4 linked regions of the Saccharomyces cerevisiae S288C genome follow. Changing the gene in region 4 together with the main gene of any one other region gives a genetic interaction. Each region holds a gene or a part of one and is shown on either strand. Other genes may lie near its edges. The genes, in order: ARO9, PAD1, ILV3 and BAT2.

Region 1 (5,199 bases), on a different chromosome or scaffold from region 4:
ACAATAGTAGAGTCATCTCTGGAAGAGTTGCTGTTGGAGTTGGCGGCGGTCGTGGCGGTCATCGAAGATCTTGCGGGCGAGTCGACAGCCTGGTGGTGGAGTTGTTTGTTTGCTTGTACGTTAAAATTTGCGTTTCCGTTTATATTGGTGAGGTTGTTAACTGCTAGAGTGGTACTTGCTATGGGCATGGACATGGGGAAGAGGAGAGCAGGAAAAGGGCCAGCGAATGCGCGAAATTTTTGTATGTGTCTTTTCTCTACTATGGCATCCACATGAAAACCAGTCACAGAGCACTCAATGAACGGTTTGCGTTTGTTGTTTGTAAGAAGCAAGCAGAAATCAAAGACCCATGTATACGATCGCTGATTTGTTTTGTTCTGTTTTTTCTTGTTCCGGCGAAAAAATCGTAAGAAACGAAAGGAGAACGAGCCCACAGGCGGGGTAACATCAAAAGGATTTATATTAGATCGTAAAGTCAATGCATATGTAACAGTACAGAGGTAGAAGGTATGTATGTGTAACGATTAAGAGATGCAATCATGATTGTTCTTCGTCAGACGAATCTTCGAATATGTCTTCGTCAATGACACAGTCGTTCTCCCAAAAGTCATGGGCGAGCTTGCTTAAAACGGCGGCAGCGTTTTGACGCTGCGCTCTACTTGAATCTTTCTCATTAATGTACTCGTTATACTCTTTAAAAGTTGATCCACTGAGAGATTGTGACTGCGATGTTCTACGTGGAGTATAGTAACTAGCAGGATTGAGCCTCCTGCACTCTTTGAGCCTCAATAGAGAAGCGATCTCCTCGGAGAGTTTTCTTCCCTTATGCTGGTGACCATCTTTAAGTTGTTTGTGTTGTCCTTGTGAAACTGCTGTTTCCATTTTGCCGCGTGGAGACATCTGTCCAATTTGCCCCTGGCTCTCTGTAAATACCCATATATGAACGTTATATATATTGTATATTAATGGCGTATATGTGCCCATGGGAAGTCATAGTAATAGATCTAGGCACGTGGCTGCAGTGACTCCGCGCAGGGCTGTACCGCCAAGGTAGATAAGAGAGCGGAGCACGTGGGAAAAGAGAGATACGGTATGTTACAACAGTCAAAGTAATGAACTTTCGCCCACGTGCGTACATCATTTACTATCTCAGGCCGCTGCGTTTGGAACTTTACGGCGTTGTAGTTGTAATTGCCATAACTGCCATGCATTTATGTATATATATTTTCGTACGTAATGAACATGGTTATGTTATATATTGTTTGCAATCAGAGAGAAGTTGAAGAGGAGAAAAAAAAAAAGAGAGAGCCGTACCGCAATAAAATGGACCCTTGTCGGTCACGTGAGCAAAAATACTATTGCCGCCGACGGCCGTAGATAATAACAAAGGAATAAAAAAAAAAAAGCGGTAACTCGCGGAAGCATTGCCGATGCTTACCGAGATTTGCCGCGGATAACCGAACCATCATTGGGGTAGGAAACATTATAAATATTTGATATATATAAAGGAAAAAGCTTGATTTGGTCTTGTAATATCCCAGTGTAAACATAAAAATACACACATACCACAATTACACTCTCTCATCGACTCAATGACTGCTGGTTCTGCCCCCCCTGTTGATTACACTTCCTTAAAGAAGAACTTCCAACCGTTTCTCTCCAGAAGAGTAGAAAATAGATCTCTGAAAAGCTTTTGGGATGCTTCTGATATCTCAGATGACGTCATTGAGCTAGCTGGTGGAATGCCAAACGAGAGATTTTTTCCTATCGAATCTATGGATTTGAAAATATCAAAAGTTCCTTTTAATGATAACCCAAAATGGCATAATTCGTTTACCACGGCGCATTTGGACTTGGGATCCCCCAGTGAGCTACCCATTGCACGTTCTTTCCAATATGCAGAAACCAAGGGTTTACCCCCTCTCTTACATTTTGTTAAAGATTTTGTGTCCAGAATTAATCGCCCAGCCTTTTCCGATGAGACGGAGTCTAACTGGGATGTCATCCTTTCTGGCGGGTCCAACGATTCAATGTTTAAGGTTTTTGAAACAATTTGCGACGAATCGACCACTGTGATGATTGAAGAGTTTACTTTCACCCCGGCTATGTCCAATGTGGAGGCTACAGGAGCAAAAGTCATCCCCATCAAGATGAACCTGACCTTCGACAGAGAGTCCCAGGGTATTGATGTCGAATATCTAACGCAGTTGCTCGATAATTGGTCAACTGGACCATACAAAGACTTAAACAAGCCAAGGGTCCTATATACCATTGCAACGGGCCAAAATCCTACCGGGATGTCTGTCCCCCAGTGGAAAAGAGAGAAAATTTACCAGTTGGCCCAAAGACACGATTTCCTCATTGTTGAAGATGATCCCTACGGTTATCTGTACTTTCCTTCCTATAATCCGCAAGAGCCATTAGAAAACCCTTACCATTCTAGCGACCTGACTACTGAACGGTATTTGAATGATTTTTTAATGAAATCATTCTTGACTTTGGATACAGATGCCCGTGTCATCCGTTTGGAGACTTTTTCTAAAATTTTTGCTCCTGGATTAAGGTTATCCTTCATCGTTGCTAATAAATTCCTTTTGCAAAAAATCTTGGATTTGGCCGACATTACTACAAGGGCCCCCAGTGGTACCTCACAAGCTATTGTTTATTCTACAATAAAGGCAATGGCTGAGTCCAACTTATCGTCCTCTCTTTCTATGAAAGAAGCAATGTTTGAGGGTTGGATAAGATGGATAATGCAGATTGCTTCTAAATACAATCATAGGAAAAATCTTACTTTGAAAGCCTTATACGAAACAGAATCTTACCAAGCTGGTCAGTTTACCGTTATGGAACCCTCCGCGGGTATGTTCATCATTATTAAAATCAATTGGGGGAATTTCGATAGACCTGACGATTTGCCGCAACAGATGGATATTTTAGATAAGTTCTTGCTGAAGAATGGTGTTAAAGTAGTGCTTGGTTATAAAATGGCTGTTTGCCCAAATTATTCAAAGCAGAATTCAGATTTTCTAAGACTCACCATCGCCTATGCAAGGGATGATGATCAGTTGATTGAAGCTTCCAAAAGAATCGGTAGTGGCATAAAAGAATTTTTTGACAACTATAAAAGTTGAACAGTGAAGATTAAACCTATGTGTTATTTGCATATCATATATAAATTGTAGTTTTTTGTATAAAAGTTGGGAAAAAGTTATAGTCGCGTATATTTTAAATTACTCTAAGCAACTAAATGGTCACGGTTTAGAGCATGAACTTCTGAATCCTTTTCCAAATTGCATTTAGCACCGTACTCGCTTTCAATATAGCTCAAACGTTCTTTCAGACCGTCCAAAATTTGGTCGCTATCAGGTAAGTCCACTGTAAAGCCCTTTATCAAGCTATATTCGTGTGTTATTTTACCCCCTATGTCCACCACATATTTTTTGACATCTTCAATAATGCTATTCTGGTCCGTAGCCATATTATCCGTCTTGGGGAAAGTTACGATGTATGATGATAAGGAAGATGCCTGTGCCATGGAGAATATGCTAATGAAAATCAAAACTAAGTAACTGGCCTTCATATATATGCTATAGTCTGTTACACAATAGATTTAAATGTTGTAATATAACGAGGAAACGCAACTTATCCATTTGTTCTCTCCATCGCATCGCTTTTTCTTAAATACTTTTGCCCCCCACCCCTTTATCCACTTGCGTTTTCCTCTTTTCTTCGCCTCTTTTTGGTAGCGCCGACCGATCTAATCGGAATAATCAAATTTAATAGGAACTGAATATTAGAAATTATTGAAGTCAATATACTGTAAAAACTATAAATCCTGTAACGAACATAAAAAAAGAAAACATAAAGGAAGCGCGTGATGTATCAGTAACATCACATAGTACAATAAAAAAGAAAGAGAACACTGATAATAACTGTACTGAAGACAAACAATTAGGAAAGTAACGACGATCTTTCTTTCGTCCAGTCATCATAACAATATGTGTTTTTGTTTTTGTTTTTGTTTTTGTTTTTGTTTTTGTTTTTGTTTTTATTTTATTTATTTTTTGCTTATTTTCGTAGTACACAACACATAATCATCTTATTGTTGACTAACAGGGAAGATTTGTTGTAACTCGCTACTACTTGTGACTTGATTATGGATAGCAATAGACAACAAAGTTTGCGCTTGGATTGGTGACAAGTACCCAGCAGAAATTGCACCTTGTGGAATACTTGTGTTACTTATGAACCCAATTCCTGAACCATCATGACCACTGGATCCATCACTTGCATAAACGACAGGGAAGTCGACCGATGTCCATGATGCCACGGTACTGTTGTGACTTGTACCAGAGCTGACAACAACCAAACCTTGGATACTAGAACTTAGTGATTGAATTAAGCTTTGAGAATATCCTTCTTCGTATATAATTGGAACCAATGGACTGGAGGATGATGAGGATGTATTGGTCCCGGAGGAGGCATTAGAAGATATTTGTGCGCTCGTAAAATTCGAGTATTGAGTTCTGATTGTGGAGTTGCTGGCAATCAGAGTTGGCTCACAGGCATCAAAGAACCATTGAACATTCTTCTGACCAGACAAAACGCCCACAGGAACAGTGTAAGGAGGGAAAACACCAGAATACACAACTTTATCTCTACCGGCAACCAAAGTGCCTCTACCTTCCGCGTCCGAACTACTCAATATTGGTACACCCCATAAGAAATTCTCAGTAATGACAATGGTCTTTGATGTATTAAAAACGATTGAGCAGAAGAAACTCAAAGTTTCAATGGAACGCCAGTTTGTGACGATTATAATGCCGGAAGACGATTCGCTTTGTAAAGTCTGATTAACTTGAGTAGCAATTTGGTAAAGTTGAGTGATGTTTAAGGTGGAAGTAGAGTTGAATAGCGTTGTGGTAGTAACGTTTGACTGGCTACCAGATACAGCAGGTCCACCCGTGATGATCACGGGGACCGTACCGCCGCCAGAAGTAACGTTCTGCCTCTTGTAAAGTGGTGTTGCAGAAGCTGTTAAAGTTGCAAGAAAAAATGCTAGCACTGATGTGAATTTCATAATAGCTGATTGGGTTCTTAGATGTGAAAACTGATCGAAATCAAATACTAGAGCATGATTGATAGGAACAAGAGAAACCAAAAGTGTTTTTAGCTTTCCTCCCAATTTTTATAGTA
Region 2 (3,071 bases), on a different chromosome or scaffold from region 4:
AAAGCTAGGTAGACGTAAGCTGTTTTTATTAGGTGCCACAGGTCAAGCAGTTTCATTCACAATTACATTTGCATGCTTGGTCAAAGAAAATAAAGAAAACGCAAGAGGTGCTGCCGTCGGCTTATTTTTGTTCATTACATTCTTTGGTTTGTCTTTGCTATCATTACCATGGATATACCCACCAGAAATTGCATCAATGAAAGTTCGTGCATCAACAAACGCTTTCTCCACATGTACTAATTGGTTGTGTAACTTTGCGGTTGTCATGTTCACCCCAATATTTATTGGACAGTCCGGTTGGGGTTGCTACTTATTTTTTGCTGTTATGAATTATTTATACATTCCAGTTATCTTCTTTTTCTACCCTGAAACCGCCGGAAGAAGTTTGGAGGAAATCGACATCATCTTTGCTAAAGCATACGAGGATGGCACTCAACCATGGAGAGTTGCTAACCATTTGCCCAAGTTATCCCTACAAGAAGTCGAAGATCATGCCAATGCATTGGGCTCTTATGACGACGAAATGGAAAAAGAGGACTTTGGTGAAGATAGAGTAGAAGACACCTATAACCAAATTAACGGCGATAATTCGTCTAGTTCTTCAAACATCAAAAATGAAGATACAGTGAACGATAAAGCAAATTTTGAGGGTTGATTCACACACAACTCACAAATCATATTTTGTAATTTACTTAAGAAAGCATTTTGCGGGGTTTATATTTGTTCCTTGCCGCACCAATAATATTCATATATTACTACATAACTTTAGTATTTTAACACCAGACGATCTGTCTTTTGAGGAAATATGTCCACTTTCATTTTCTTCCGCTTGCCGGCAATGCCTATAAAAAGCTTATAAAATAGCCCGACTCCGTAGTCTTAATATTTATTTAAGTACAATAATAGTCCCACAAAAATTTTTAAAACATCTTTATTGATAACGTGGACGTGTTATTACATTGGAGCGAATGATGACGGAAGTAGGAAAATCTGAATACTAAGGTGAAGATATTTTAGCAGGGTGCCGCCATGGATGTTCTATGAATGTCTTCCTTCCTTTTCTCTCATGGGACACCGCAAAAACCTGTTCTACCATCATTTAACTGCAACATACAAAAAGCCACCAACTTTCGAACACTGCAAATGGTGCTATTCTCTTTTTGCGGTCTTGCCATGATATTCTTCTTGCAAAAAGGGTTTTAGAGCAAGATTTCAAATTAGCCATGAATATCATGCATCGCTTAGAGCAGTAAGATTTTACCAGAGCTTTACAGGACCTATTTTTCATACGTTATGCACTTCATTCTTCTTGTCGGTTTGATAACAGCAGAATCTAGTTCCTTTAATTTGAACGTTAGCCCGGCAGAAGCCATACCTCGAAAACGCAGCAGCGCTTCATAGGCATATCAAAAACAGGGCAAGGGACACCATACATCACCTAGTGCTGTTACTTATAACCAACTTGACAACGATTGCACAAGAAAAGAGTATATCTGTGAAGACAGCCAAAACGCTTAACATGTTATGACATAAATTGCAGACAAGAAATTGGATGTATTTTACAGACTTTGCATTCCTGTCTGAAAGCCTTTTTACATAAAAATGGTTTCATTAGTAGCACTTCGTATCGTTTTCAAATAATGATGAGATGCTCCAAAAGGAAAGTTGGCACAGAAAAAATGACGCGCCTTTCCTGTTTACCGTTAAACTTCTCAGAAAAAGTATACTCGACCCATTTTTAAGATTGGTGATGGATAGAATTTCATTTAACATAATGCTGCAAATATAGATTGATTTCAATCTACGGAGTCCAACGCATTGAGCAGCTTCAATTGAGTAGATATGCTCCTATTTCCAAGAAGAACTAATATAGCCTTTTTCAAAACAACAGGCATTTTTGCTAATTTTCCTTTGCTAGGTAGAACCATTACAACTTCACCATCTTTCCTTACACATAAACTGTCAAAGGAAGTAACCAGGGCATCAACTTCGCCTCCAAGACCAAAGAGAATTGTTGTCGCAATTACTGGTGCGACTGGTGTTGCACTGGGAATCAGACTTCTACAAGTGCTAAAAGAGTTGAGCGTAGAAACCCATTTGGTGATTTCAAAATGGGGTGCAGCAACAATGAAATATGAAACAGATTGGGAACCGCATGACGTGGCGGCCTTGGCAACCAAGACATACTCTGTTCGTGATGTTTCTGCATGCATTTCGTCCGGATCTTTCCAGCATGATGGTATGATTGTTGTGCCCTGTTCCATGAAATCACTAGCTGCTATTAGAATCGGTTTTACAGAGGATTTAATTACAAGAGCTGCCGATGTTTCGATTAAAGAGAATCGTAAGTTACTACTGGTTACTCGGGAAACCCCTTTATCTTCCATCCATCTTGAAAACATGTTGTCTTTATGCAGGGCAGGTGTTATAATTTTTCCTCCGGTACCTGCGTTTTATACAAGACCCAAGAGCCTTCATGACCTATTAGAACAAAGTGTTGGCAGGATCCTAGACTGCTTTGGCATCCACGCTGACACTTTTCCTCGTTGGGAAGGAATAAAAAGCAAGTAACACTTTTTCTGAGCATTTTATTACGTTACTCAACTACTAATAGAGTTGATTTGTTACTTGCTAAAATCTTTTTATATTTCTTTTAGCCCCGACAGAACTTGTTGCAAATGAATACAAACCGTGAACTTCCCGATATCATTCTAATTGAACCCAGATATTTACACATGTACTTCTTACTCATTTTCAATGTCAGCTTAAATATCGTCTAAAACAATATTTTACTAGATACGCAGTTCAATCTTCGCGCATATTTTCACGAAAGTCCAAATTGCGTACGTAGTTTTATGTCAAAGTGACCGCCGTTGTAGCGTACTTTTTCCTATAAGACAAGCTCGTGATATCAGGAATATATCAGGAATGTAAACGAATACCGCATATCTTTTTGATTTTTTTCCTCTGAGTTATTCTATTCTTGACATTATTACATCACCAATTCAAAAGAATTGTCAATTTATATATTTAAATGAGGAAGCTAAATCCAGCTTTAGAATTTAGAGACT
Region 3 (5,704 bases), 240 kb from region 4:
CCACCAGCCAAAACCACAATAGCGAAGACAATGATGACGCTAGCCATCGGCTGAAGCGTGCGGCCAGGACCATTATTCCCTGGGAGGAACTAAGACCCGACACTCTGGAATCTGAGCTGTGAAACGGGCGTCCTGCTTTTTCATTCTACACAGGCATATGTAACAGCAGTGTATAGGCTATGTAAATCGGCCCAATCAACAAACAAGCGTTGCTTATTGGACTTGCTACTACCCCAACAAAGGAGAGAGCCTTTGATTGCATCCTCGGAAGAGACGGCATAAACACCGAGCCTCATCCTACAATGAAAAACCACGCCAGTTGGATATAAACCAGAAAAGGGTTTCAATTCAGTATCCACCATGAGCAAGACAAGATAAGACAAGATTGCATAAAAATGAGTGCTTCCAAAATGGCCATGTCCAACCTAGAGAAAATATTGGAACTGGTTCCTCTTTCGCCTACCAGTTTTGTCACAAAGTATCTGCCTGCCGCGCCCGTAGGGTCTAAGGGCACTTTTGGTGGAACGCTGGTATCACAATCGCTGCTGGCGTCATTGCATACTGTGCCATTGAACTTCTTCCCCACATCGCTACATTCGTATTTCATCAAGGGTGGTGATCCGCGGACCAAGATCACGTACCATGTGCAGAATCTGAGAAACGGTAGAAATTTCATCCATAAGCAGGTTAGTGCTTATCAGCACGACAAGTTGATATTTACGTCGATGATCTTATTTGCCGTGCAACGGTCCAAGGAGCACGACTCCTTGCAGCACTGGGAGACGATTCCAGGCCTGCAAGGTAAGCAGCCAGACCCTCATCGTTATGAAGAGGCCACTTCGCTTTTCCAGAAAGAAGTTCTGGACCCACAGAAATTGAGCAGGTATGCCTCATTGTCCGACAGGTTCCAAGACGCAACCTCGATGAGCAAGTATGTGGATGCGTTTCAATACGGAGTCATGGAGTACCAATTCCCCAAGGACATGTTCTACTCGGCAAGACACACCGACGAGCTGGATTATTTCGTCAAAGTGAGACCTCCCATCACTACCGTGGAGCACGCGGGCGACGAGTCTTCTTTACACAAGCATCATCCGTACAGGATCCCGAAGAGCATTACTCCTGAGAACGACGCTCGCTACAACTACGTGGCCTTTGCGTATCTGTCCGATTCCTACCTCCTACTCACGATCCCGTACTTCCACAACCTGCCTTTGTACTGCCACAGTTTCAGTGTCTCGCTCGACCACACGATTTACTTTCACCAGTTGCCTCATGTGAACAATTGGATCTATCTTAAGATTTCGAATCCCAGGTCCCACTGGGACAAGCACCTCGTACAGGGCAAGTATTTCGACACACAGTCGGGACGCATCATGGCAAGCGTCTCTCAGGAGGGCTACGTTGTCTACGGGTCAGAACGAGACATTCGAGCCAAGTTCTGAGGACAATTCCCTCCCACGTATAAACACATACATATATATTCTTATATTATATAATAATATCCTATTTATTATTACATCACCTTTCACGAGCGGGTATCATACCTTTTTCCCTTCGATCTAAGTAGAAAAAGGACCTGAATGATCATTGTGGTACTTATTCCCACGCATAACCGACTACGGCACCACAACGACGCACCAATGCCATCTGACGTAGCATCGAGGACCGGGCTGCCAACCCCGTGGACCGTCAGGTATAGTAAGTCCAAGAAAAGAGAGTATTTTTTCAATCCAGAGACGAAGCACTCGCAATGGGAGGAGCCTGAGGGCACCAACAAGGACCAGCTACACAAGCACTTAAGAGACCATCCAGTGCGTGTAAGATGCCTGCACATTCTCATCAAGCACAAGGATTCAAGAAGACCCGCATCGCATAGATCCGAGAACATTACGATATCCAAGCAAGACGCTACGGACGAACTGAAAACCTTAATCACGAGGTTGGATGACGACTCTAAGACGAACTCCTTCGAGGCCCTGGCTAAAGAGAGATCAGATTGCTCTTCATACAAGCGAGGCGGCGACCTCGGCTGGTTCGGGAGAGGCGAGATGCAGCCTAGCTTTGAAGACGCTGCCTTCCAGCTCAAGGTCGGCGAGGTAAGCGATATCGTTGAATCAGGAAGCGGTGTTCATGTGATCAAGCGGGTAGGTTAGGTTGGCATTTGCTTCTCCACCTCACCTTTTTATGTTCTTATTCCCTCTTGTATCCATTCCGTCCTCGCTGAACCCATGAAAAGAAAAAAAATTAACTAGTCACATAGTTAAATGGCGCTGTTCTTCGCTGCGAGCGGAACCGGGCCTGAAAAAAAATTTTCTCTTTTCCTCTCCAGATGACTCAGTAATATAGTAGTATATTATATAATGTAACAAAAGAAGAGACTGAAGTTTTATTATGCATTGTAGCGCCTGTAATCTTTAGTAACGGATTCTTGTATTTTTTTGTAAACAGCCAAGAAAAAAGTAGAGATGGGCTTGTTAACGAAAGTTGCTACATCTAGACAATTCTCTACAACGAGATGCGTTGCAAAGAAGCTCAACAAGTACTCGTATATCATCACTGAACCTAAGGGCCAAGGTGCGTCCCAGGCCATGCTTTATGCCACCGGTTTCAAGAAGGAAGATTTCAAGAAGCCTCAAGTCGGGGTTGGTTCCTGTTGGTGGTCCGGTAACCCATGTAACATGCATCTATTGGACTTGAATAACAGATGTTCTCAATCCATTGAAAAAGCGGGTTTGAAAGCTATGCAGTTCAACACCATCGGTGTTTCAGACGGTATCTCTATGGGTACTAAAGGTATGAGATACTCGTTACAAAGTAGAGAAATCATTGCAGACTCCTTTGAAACCATCATGATGGCACAACACTACGATGCTAACATCGCCATCCCATCATGTGACAAAAACATGCCCGGTGTCATGATGGCCATGGGTAGACATAACAGACCTTCCATCATGGTATATGGTGGTACTATCTTGCCCGGTCATCCAACATGTGGTTCTTCGAAGATCTCTAAAAACATCGATATCGTCTCTGCGTTCCAATCCTACGGTGAATATATTTCCAAGCAATTCACTGAAGAAGAAAGAGAAGATGTTGTGGAACATGCATGCCCAGGTCCTGGTTCTTGTGGTGGTATGTATACTGCCAACACAATGGCTTCTGCCGCTGAAGTGCTAGGTTTGACCATTCCAAACTCCTCTTCCTTCCCAGCCGTTTCCAAGGAGAAGTTAGCTGAGTGTGACAACATTGGTGAATACATCAAGAAGACAATGGAATTGGGTATTTTACCTCGTGATATCCTCACAAAAGAGGCTTTTGAAAACGCCATTACTTATGTCGTTGCAACCGGTGGGTCCACTAATGCTGTTTTGCATTTGGTGGCTGTTGCTCACTCTGCGGGTGTCAAGTTGTCACCAGATGATTTCCAAAGAATCAGTGATACTACACCATTGATCGGTGACTTCAAACCTTCTGGTAAATACGTCATGGCCGATTTGATTAACGTTGGTGGTACCCAATCTGTGATTAAGTATCTATATGAAAACAACATGTTGCACGGTAACACAATGACTGTTACCGGTGACACTTTGGCAGAACGTGCAAAGAAAGCACCAAGCCTACCTGAAGGACAAGAGATTATTAAGCCACTCTCCCACCCAATCAAGGCCAACGGTCACTTGCAAATTCTGTACGGTTCATTGGCACCAGGTGGAGCTGTGGGTAAAATTACCGGTAAGGAAGGTACTTACTTCAAGGGTAGAGCACGTGTGTTCGAAGAGGAAGGTGCCTTTATTGAAGCCTTGGAAAGAGGTGAAATCAAGAAGGGTGAAAAAACCGTTGTTGTTATCAGATATGAAGGTCCAAGAGGTGCACCAGGTATGCCTGAAATGCTAAAGCCTTCCTCTGCTCTGATGGGTTACGGTTTGGGTAAAGATGTTGCATTGTTGACTGATGGTAGATTCTCTGGTGGTTCTCACGGGTTCTTAATCGGCCACATTGTTCCCGAAGCCGCTGAAGGTGGTCCTATCGGGTTGGTCAGAGACGGCGATGAGATTATCATTGATGCTGATAATAACAAGATTGACCTATTAGTCTCTGATAAGGAAATGGCTCAACGTAAACAAAGTTGGGTTGCACCTCCACCTCGTTACACAAGAGGTACTCTATCCAAGTATGCTAAGTTGGTTTCCAACGCTTCCAACGGTTGTGTTTTAGATGCTTGATGCATTATAGGCCCCAATCGATGAATATATATATAGAGATTCTCCTTTTCCATCATCTTTTTTGTTCGCAATCTTTTCATATATATATATATATAAATATTTATTATAGTCCATTGAATGGATAAACATTTATTTAAAAAAAAACAACGATCAGTATTTTTTTATTTGAAAAGTCGCCTTAATTATAATCTACGAAATTAACTCTGCTTTGCTGCCACTAAAGCCTTCTGTTTTAGTTTTCTACTAGCATACTTGCCAACAAATGGTAACAGTGCCGTATTCAAGGCAATGAGTGCGACTAAAATACCATAATTCCGACCCATCTTGCGTCTTGTCACGTCAAAAAAAATAACCCTGTAGATATCGATGACGTTGTGAACGGGCATCATGTACCCATATCTATAAACATTATTGTTTAGCGCTAATGGGAAGAAAGAAGGTGCAATATTGAGAATGACAAATGATAGGATCCAGAACCCGAGATACTGGGGTCCTAACGTAATAACAAGCATAACCGCATTTTCGTTAGCTCCTCCCGCAGCAAGCATGAAGAGCCACGTAGACATCCAATATACGACGAAGCCACCTCTACCAAAGGACTTGGTAAAATCGACTTGAAAGATGGCGGTTGTTGTGCAGAAGAACAAAGACGCAAAGAAAAAGGTGAACCATGACATAGCGATACGGTAAATTAAACCGTTGGCTGGTCTTAGCACTTTTGCCATTTCTACGTGTAATGGGCCGTACAATAGAAATTGGAAAAAAGTTAGCAGTAAACAGTAAACAACACCGATTTGTGTGGGTGCCAGTAGAATACGGTCTGTGAATGGTCTGTGGTCATAGTATTCGTAGTTATATTTACCTGCTGCAGCGATATACCTTGCATTGTTAGTTAGTGCATAACGATATACCTGGGTTATGTTTGTCAATAACGGCGGCAGATAATTTAGTGTGTAGAATGTATGGTAGTACTCTTCAATGGTCTGAGCAACCGGTAAAATCGTTGATTTTAGGTTTGTCGGGTCTCTACCAGTTTCATATACCACCTGATTAAACAGCGTAGAATTGAATAGTGGTGCGGTATCGTTGATTAGTGATTCAAATAGAGTCTCCGTGGCGTTTGGCTTGATATTAATGGCAAACCAGTATTTTTCGTCGTAAACCAAATCGACAACCTTGTCATTGACTTGCTGTGGCGTATTTACGTCGAACTTGGCCTGGAAGGTAGGACTGTTATAAATATCCCAATCACATGGTATTTTATTGATAAAAGTAGGCAAAGCATACGATATGGAGGGCACTACCATGGAACTGTTATTATCCAAAATTACCACAGGGGGTTCCTGGATAACAACCAGAAGCTTAACTTTGTGTAGATACTTGCTGGTGTCGTAAAGAGCCCCCCAGAACAACACAAACATTGTAAAGCAAATTATGGCCAGTAAGCAATTTGTGAAAACAAACTTTAAAAGAACTTT
Region 4 (4,700 bases):
TTACAGAATGTACGGCTGTTTAAAAATAAATAGTGGATGCATGGGTGCTTCCACGCGTCTCTGGGAAAAAAAACCAGGATATTTTAATGTTTGTTTATTTGTTTATTTCCTGCTGAACTGAATATTGAAAACATCGAAAAAATGCAGTACCCAGCTCTCCATTAGGACTTTTTACGTAATGACGAAAATGGACAAGCTGCGCAGGAAAGGACTACGAAAAGTATGCTGCCATAATGACAAGATAAGGCGCAACACACGTAATCATGACTAATGGTTGCACAGACGGTAGGCCAGGAGAAGGATTAGATCTCGTGCCGAACGACAGCAAGCTAGCTAGACTATGTTATCTGAGTGTAAACGAAAGCGCAGCAGTCTCTGCAAGAGCACGTGCGACGTGTCTGGTGTGCAAAAACCCTCTAGAGAAACATTGCTAAGGTTTACCGATGCAGGAAATCTTTAGTTCTAAAAGATGAAAGTCGGAAAAGCCAAAAAGAAACCGGAAATCTTCTCTGCGCATTGTTCTGTGGCCACGGCCTTCCTGGACCCGTCCTTCTTTTACCCGAACTTTGTCGCCCAAAAGGCATCTCATTATAATGACAAAACTGGATCTGCAAATATTTGGACATATATCTCCAGAACGGGCTCACTTCTCCTCTTCACCCAGGTGGTATATAGGAAGAGTAAGTGGACGCATCAGTCCGCGACATTTGCGGACTGTATATATTGCCAGTCAGGGCAGTCGCCAAGTGTGTCTCTTTCGTGTAGCGACGCACGTCAGACATGGATGCAACATCGAGGATGGAGCAGCCTGATGTCTTTGTAAGCAAACTCTACCACCTGCTGCAGGGGAACGCTTACTCGAACATAATACAATGGTCGACTGATGGCAGCAAGCTCGTCATTTGGAATCCGGACCAGTTCACCAAAGTCATCCTAGAGCGATTTTTTGGTATTCACACCTTTGCAGCATTCGTTAAGCAATTGAGCAAATATAACTTCCAGAAGGCGGGCCGCCCGGACTGCGTGGAGTTTTCCAACATTCATTTTCAAAAAGATAACATTAATAGCCTCTCACTGGTTAAAGCTCATCAGTCTGCCGCCACTCCCAATGTCGCCGCCGTCAATAATATGAATAAGCAGTGTACTTTTCACTGGGACCCTTTCAAAGTGAACTCCATTCTAAGCAAGGCCATCGGCAAGCCTTCCTTCGAGAAATTAGTGAAAAATGTTGACAGGCTTCAGGGCAATCTTGATGAGCTTAAGTCGACAAACGCAGATAGTCTGCGTATTATAAGGGAAATTAACGCCAGCTTACAGACAATCTCCTACCACCAGTTTCACGCCTACCAAACCGCTAACTTCCTTCAAGAAAATTTTGAAGCCATCAAAAAGGTTGTATGCCCGGACTCTTGTCTACAACACCAGCAACGCCAACCAAAGCGCCCCAAACGCTACTCGTTGCTGTTACTAATACCAAACGCATCCGAATTGTCAGAAACACCTTTGATGCGCTTCGCCGGCGTGTTCGAATTTATGAACTGCTCTTTGGATACGGCCACTCAGTGGCACCCGCAGTTGCATCCCGAGGCATACGACCTTCTTTTCGTCACCGTGTCGCCCAACATGCAACAAGAACATCTCATCTACTTCAAGAGACTGAGAAACCTACTCCCAAGCTTTCCTGTAATAGCCATTATTAACAGACCCGTCTCCCCTCAAGATACCAGCATTGCTCCCTCCAACTACTCTCGCTATTATTTCCACCATTTTTTGCAGTTGGGGTTCAGTGACATCCTAGTTAGCCCCTTCACCCCAACACAACTTATAACGCTCCTTTCCAAACATCTTCGAACGTGAAAACCTGCCTCTGAGGGTCATTCACGACCTAGCATACCACTATATACGTGTACGATTTTTTTTTTCTGTGACCGCACTACACCAAAGTTTAATGTTCCATTGGCCCCGGAACCATTCTTGCAAACGGCGTTCTTTTTCCGCTTTCGGGTGACACTTAATTTAGCTTCTTTTCCCTCTCTGACACCTCTTGTTATCTAATCTGTAGATCCGACTCTTTTTCTTTTTGGTGTCGTTCTTCTATGTCCGTTTTTCTGTCAACAAAAACGGAAATAATAGGTAGAAATTAAGAGCCGTACGTGAGTGAGAGGAGATCCGAAATGAGCTGACAGTATAACTAATATAAGCTTACAAGATATTCGACTATTTCCTGGGAAAAAATTCATTCCTTTGAGAAATCCTTAATAAAAACAGACTAACTACTAAAATTTTAGAAATTTAAGGGAAAGCATCTCCACGAGTTTTAAGAACGATATGACCTTGGCACCCCTAGACGCCTCCAAAGTTAAGATAACTACCACACAACATGCATCTAAGCCAAAACCGAACAGTGAGTTAGTGTTTGGCAAGAGCTTCACGGACCACATGTTAACTGCGGAATGGACAGCTGAAAAAGGGTGGGGTACCCCAGAGATTAAACCTTATCAAAATCTGTCTTTAGACCCTTCCGCGGTGGTTTTCCATTATGCTTTTGAGCTATTCGAAGGGATGAAGGCTTACAGAACGGTGGACAACAAAATTACAATGTTTCGTCCAGATATGAATATGAAGCGCATGAATAAGTCTGCTCAGAGAATCTGTTTGCCAACGTTCGACCCAGAAGAGTTGATTACCCTAATTGGGAAACTGATCCAGCAAGATAAGTGCTTAGTTCCTGAAGGAAAAGGTTACTCTTTATATATCAGGCCTACATTAATCGGCACTACGGCCGGTTTAGGGGTTTCCACGCCTGATAGAGCCTTGCTATATGTCATTTGCTGCCCTGTGGGTCCTTATTACAAAACTGGATTTAAGGCGGTCAGACTGGAAGCCACTGATTATGCCACAAGAGCTTGGCCAGGAGGCTGTGGTGACAAGAAACTAGGTGCAAACTACGCCCCCTGCGTCCTGCCACAATTGCAAGCTGCTTCAAGGGGTTACCAACAAAATTTATGGCTATTTGGTCCAAATAACAACATTACTGAAGTCGGCACCATGAATGCTTTTTTCGTGTTTAAAGATAGTAAAACGGGCAAGAAGGAACTAGTTACTGCTCCACTAGACGGTACCATTTTGGAAGGTGTTACTAGGGATTCCATTTTAAATCTTGCTAAAGAAAGACTCGAACCAAGTGAATGGACCATTAGTGAACGCTACTTCACTATAGGCGAAGTTACTGAGAGATCCAAGAACGGTGAACTACTTGAAGCCTTTGGTTCTGGTACTGCTGCGATTGTTTCTCCCATTAAGGAAATCGGCTGGAAAGGCGAACAAATTAATATTCCGTTGTTGCCCGGCGAACAAACCGGTCCATTGGCCAAAGAAGTTGCACAATGGATTAATGGAATCCAATATGGCGAGACTGAGCATGGCAATTGGTCAAGGGTTGTTACTGATTTGAACTGAAGTATCGCTATTGCTACGTAAAGTAATTAAAAGTTAAAAAGAATAAAACTAGAGCGTTTTTTCTACTGAGTTAAGGGGTCATGTCAGAATATAACATACCCTTTGACATTGTATATATGAATTCCTGGATTTTGCAGTGATCTGATAAAAAATGTATGTCGAAACCTGCAATTATCCTTTCGTTTTTTTTCTTGTCATCTAGTGCTGGCCTATCGGTATCAAGGACATCTTTTGCGCGGATAGAAAAGGGCCCATACATACCTTAGAAGCAACTCAAGACAATTCATGTACTTTTTAAACCAACTAATATTTCAAGACGTTTCCGTAATGTCGGTGGATAAAAGAGAAGATATGAGCAGATCTTTCCAAAAATGTTTAAACTTGAGATACCCTATCATCCAGGCCCCTATGGCGGGGGTCACGACTATTGAAATGGCCGCTAAGGCTTGTATTGCGGGCGCCATAGCTTCACTACCCCTATCCCACTTAGACTTCAGAAAGGTCAATGATATTGAAAAGCTTAAACTGATGGTTTCACAATTCAGAGATCAAGTAGCCGATGAATCTTTAGAGGGCAATCTCAACCTAAACTTTTTTTGCCATGATATCGTTGATAAACCGACCGATCTTCAAACAGCTAACTGGGCGAAGCTATACAGAAAGTCTATGAATGTGCCGATTGATATGAATGAGATTAAATTCGATAATGGTAATGTATCTTTTAAGGCATTTGAAAAAGAAAATGCTCTTCAAGATTTTTTCCAGTACCTATCAGATGGCTTTAGGCCTAAAATCATTAGTTTCCATTTTGGCCATCCGTCGAAATCTACAATAGAATATTTACAAAAAATTGGAATTCTAATTTTTGTGACTGCCACCTCTGTAAGAGAAGTTCGATTGTTAGCACGTCTCGGCATTAATGGCATAGTGTGTCAAGGCTATGAAGCGGGAGGACATAGAGGAAATTTCTTAGTAAATGACCCCAAAGATGATGAAAACTTATCAACTGTACAATTGGTGAAAAGAACAGTTGATGAACTTGCTGAAATGAAAAATAAAGGTCTTATACATGCTACTCCCTTTGTCATTGCAGCAGGTGGTATAATGGATTCCAAAGATATATCATACATGTTATCACAGCAAGCAGACGCTGTTCAAGTGGGGACTGCTTTTCTTGGTTGCAGTGAATCCAATGCATCAAAAAACTTTTCAAGCCCCTTCACTCGAGAAACAACAACTAA

What was found.
Region 1: of BAT2 (region 4) and ARO9, changing one suppresses a phenotype caused by changing the other (phenotypic suppression), as found in Saccharomyces cerevisiae (one study listed by BioGRID).
Region 2: of BAT2 (region 4) and PAD1, changing one enhances a phenotype caused by changing the other (phenotypic enhancement), as found in Saccharomyces cerevisiae (one study listed by BioGRID).
Region 3: mutations in BAT2 (region 4) and ILV3 are lethal when combined (synthetic lethality), as found in Saccharomyces cerevisiae (2 studies listed by BioGRID, with this or other methods).

The regions. Positions count from the first base shown.
Region 1 is NC_001140.6:374,117-379,315, forward strand, and holds ARO9 (aromatic-amino-acid:2-oxoglutarate transaminase), read left to right. Parts: upstream 1-1,592; coding exon 1,593-3,134; downstream 3,135-5,199. Other genes in the region: serine/threonine protein kinase YCK1, read right to left, coding at 1-194; SPL2 (Spl2p), read right to left, coding at 538-984; YHR138C (uncharacterized protein), read right to left, coding at 3,239-3,583; SPS100 (Sps100p), read right to left, coding at 4,103-5,083. UniProt on the Saccharomyces cerevisiae protein: General aromatic amino acid transaminase involved in several otherwise unrelated metabolic pathways. Mainly involved in tryptophan degradation.
Region 2 is NC_001136.10:1,509,060-1,512,130, forward strand, and holds PAD1 (phenylacrylic acid decarboxylase PAD1), read left to right. Parts: upstream 1-1,842; coding exon 1,843-2,571; downstream 2,572-3,071. Other genes in the region: glucose-inactivated glycerol proton symporter STL1, read left to right, coding at 1-655; putative phenylacrylic acid decarboxylase FDC1, read left to right, coding at 3,035-3,071. UniProt on the Saccharomyces cerevisiae protein: Flavin prenyltransferase that catalyzes the synthesis of the prenylated FMN cofactor (prenyl-FMN) for the ferulic acid decarboxylase FDC1/ubiD.
Region 3 is NC_001142.9:462,973-468,676, reverse strand, and holds ILV3 (dihydroxy-acid dehydratase ILV3), read left to right. Parts: upstream 1-2,468; coding exon 2,469-4,226; downstream 4,227-5,704. Other genes in the region: REC107 (Rec107p), read left to right, coding at 1-122; TES1 (palmitoyl-CoA hydrolase), read left to right, coding at 396-1,445; peptidylprolyl isomerase ESS1, read left to right, coding at 1,644-2,156; YJR015W (uncharacterized protein), read right to left, coding at 4,424-5,704. UniProt on the Saccharomyces cerevisiae protein: Dihydroxyacid dehydratase that catalyzes the third step in the common pathway leading to biosynthesis of branched-chain amino acids.
Region 4 is NC_001142.9:703,416-708,115, forward strand, and holds BAT2 (branched-chain-amino-acid transaminase BAT2), read left to right. Parts: upstream 1-2,328; coding exon 2,329-3,459; downstream 3,460-4,700. Other genes in the region: YJR146W (uncharacterized protein), read left to right, coding at 470-823; HMS2 (Hms2p), read left to right, coding at 781-1,857; YJR149W (putative nitronate monooxygenase), read left to right, coding at 3,745-4,700. UniProt on the Saccharomyces cerevisiae protein: Cytoplasmic isozyme of branched-chain-amino-acid aminotransferase, which catalyzes the first reaction in the catabolism of the essential branched chain amino acids (BCAAs) leucine, isoleucine, and valine.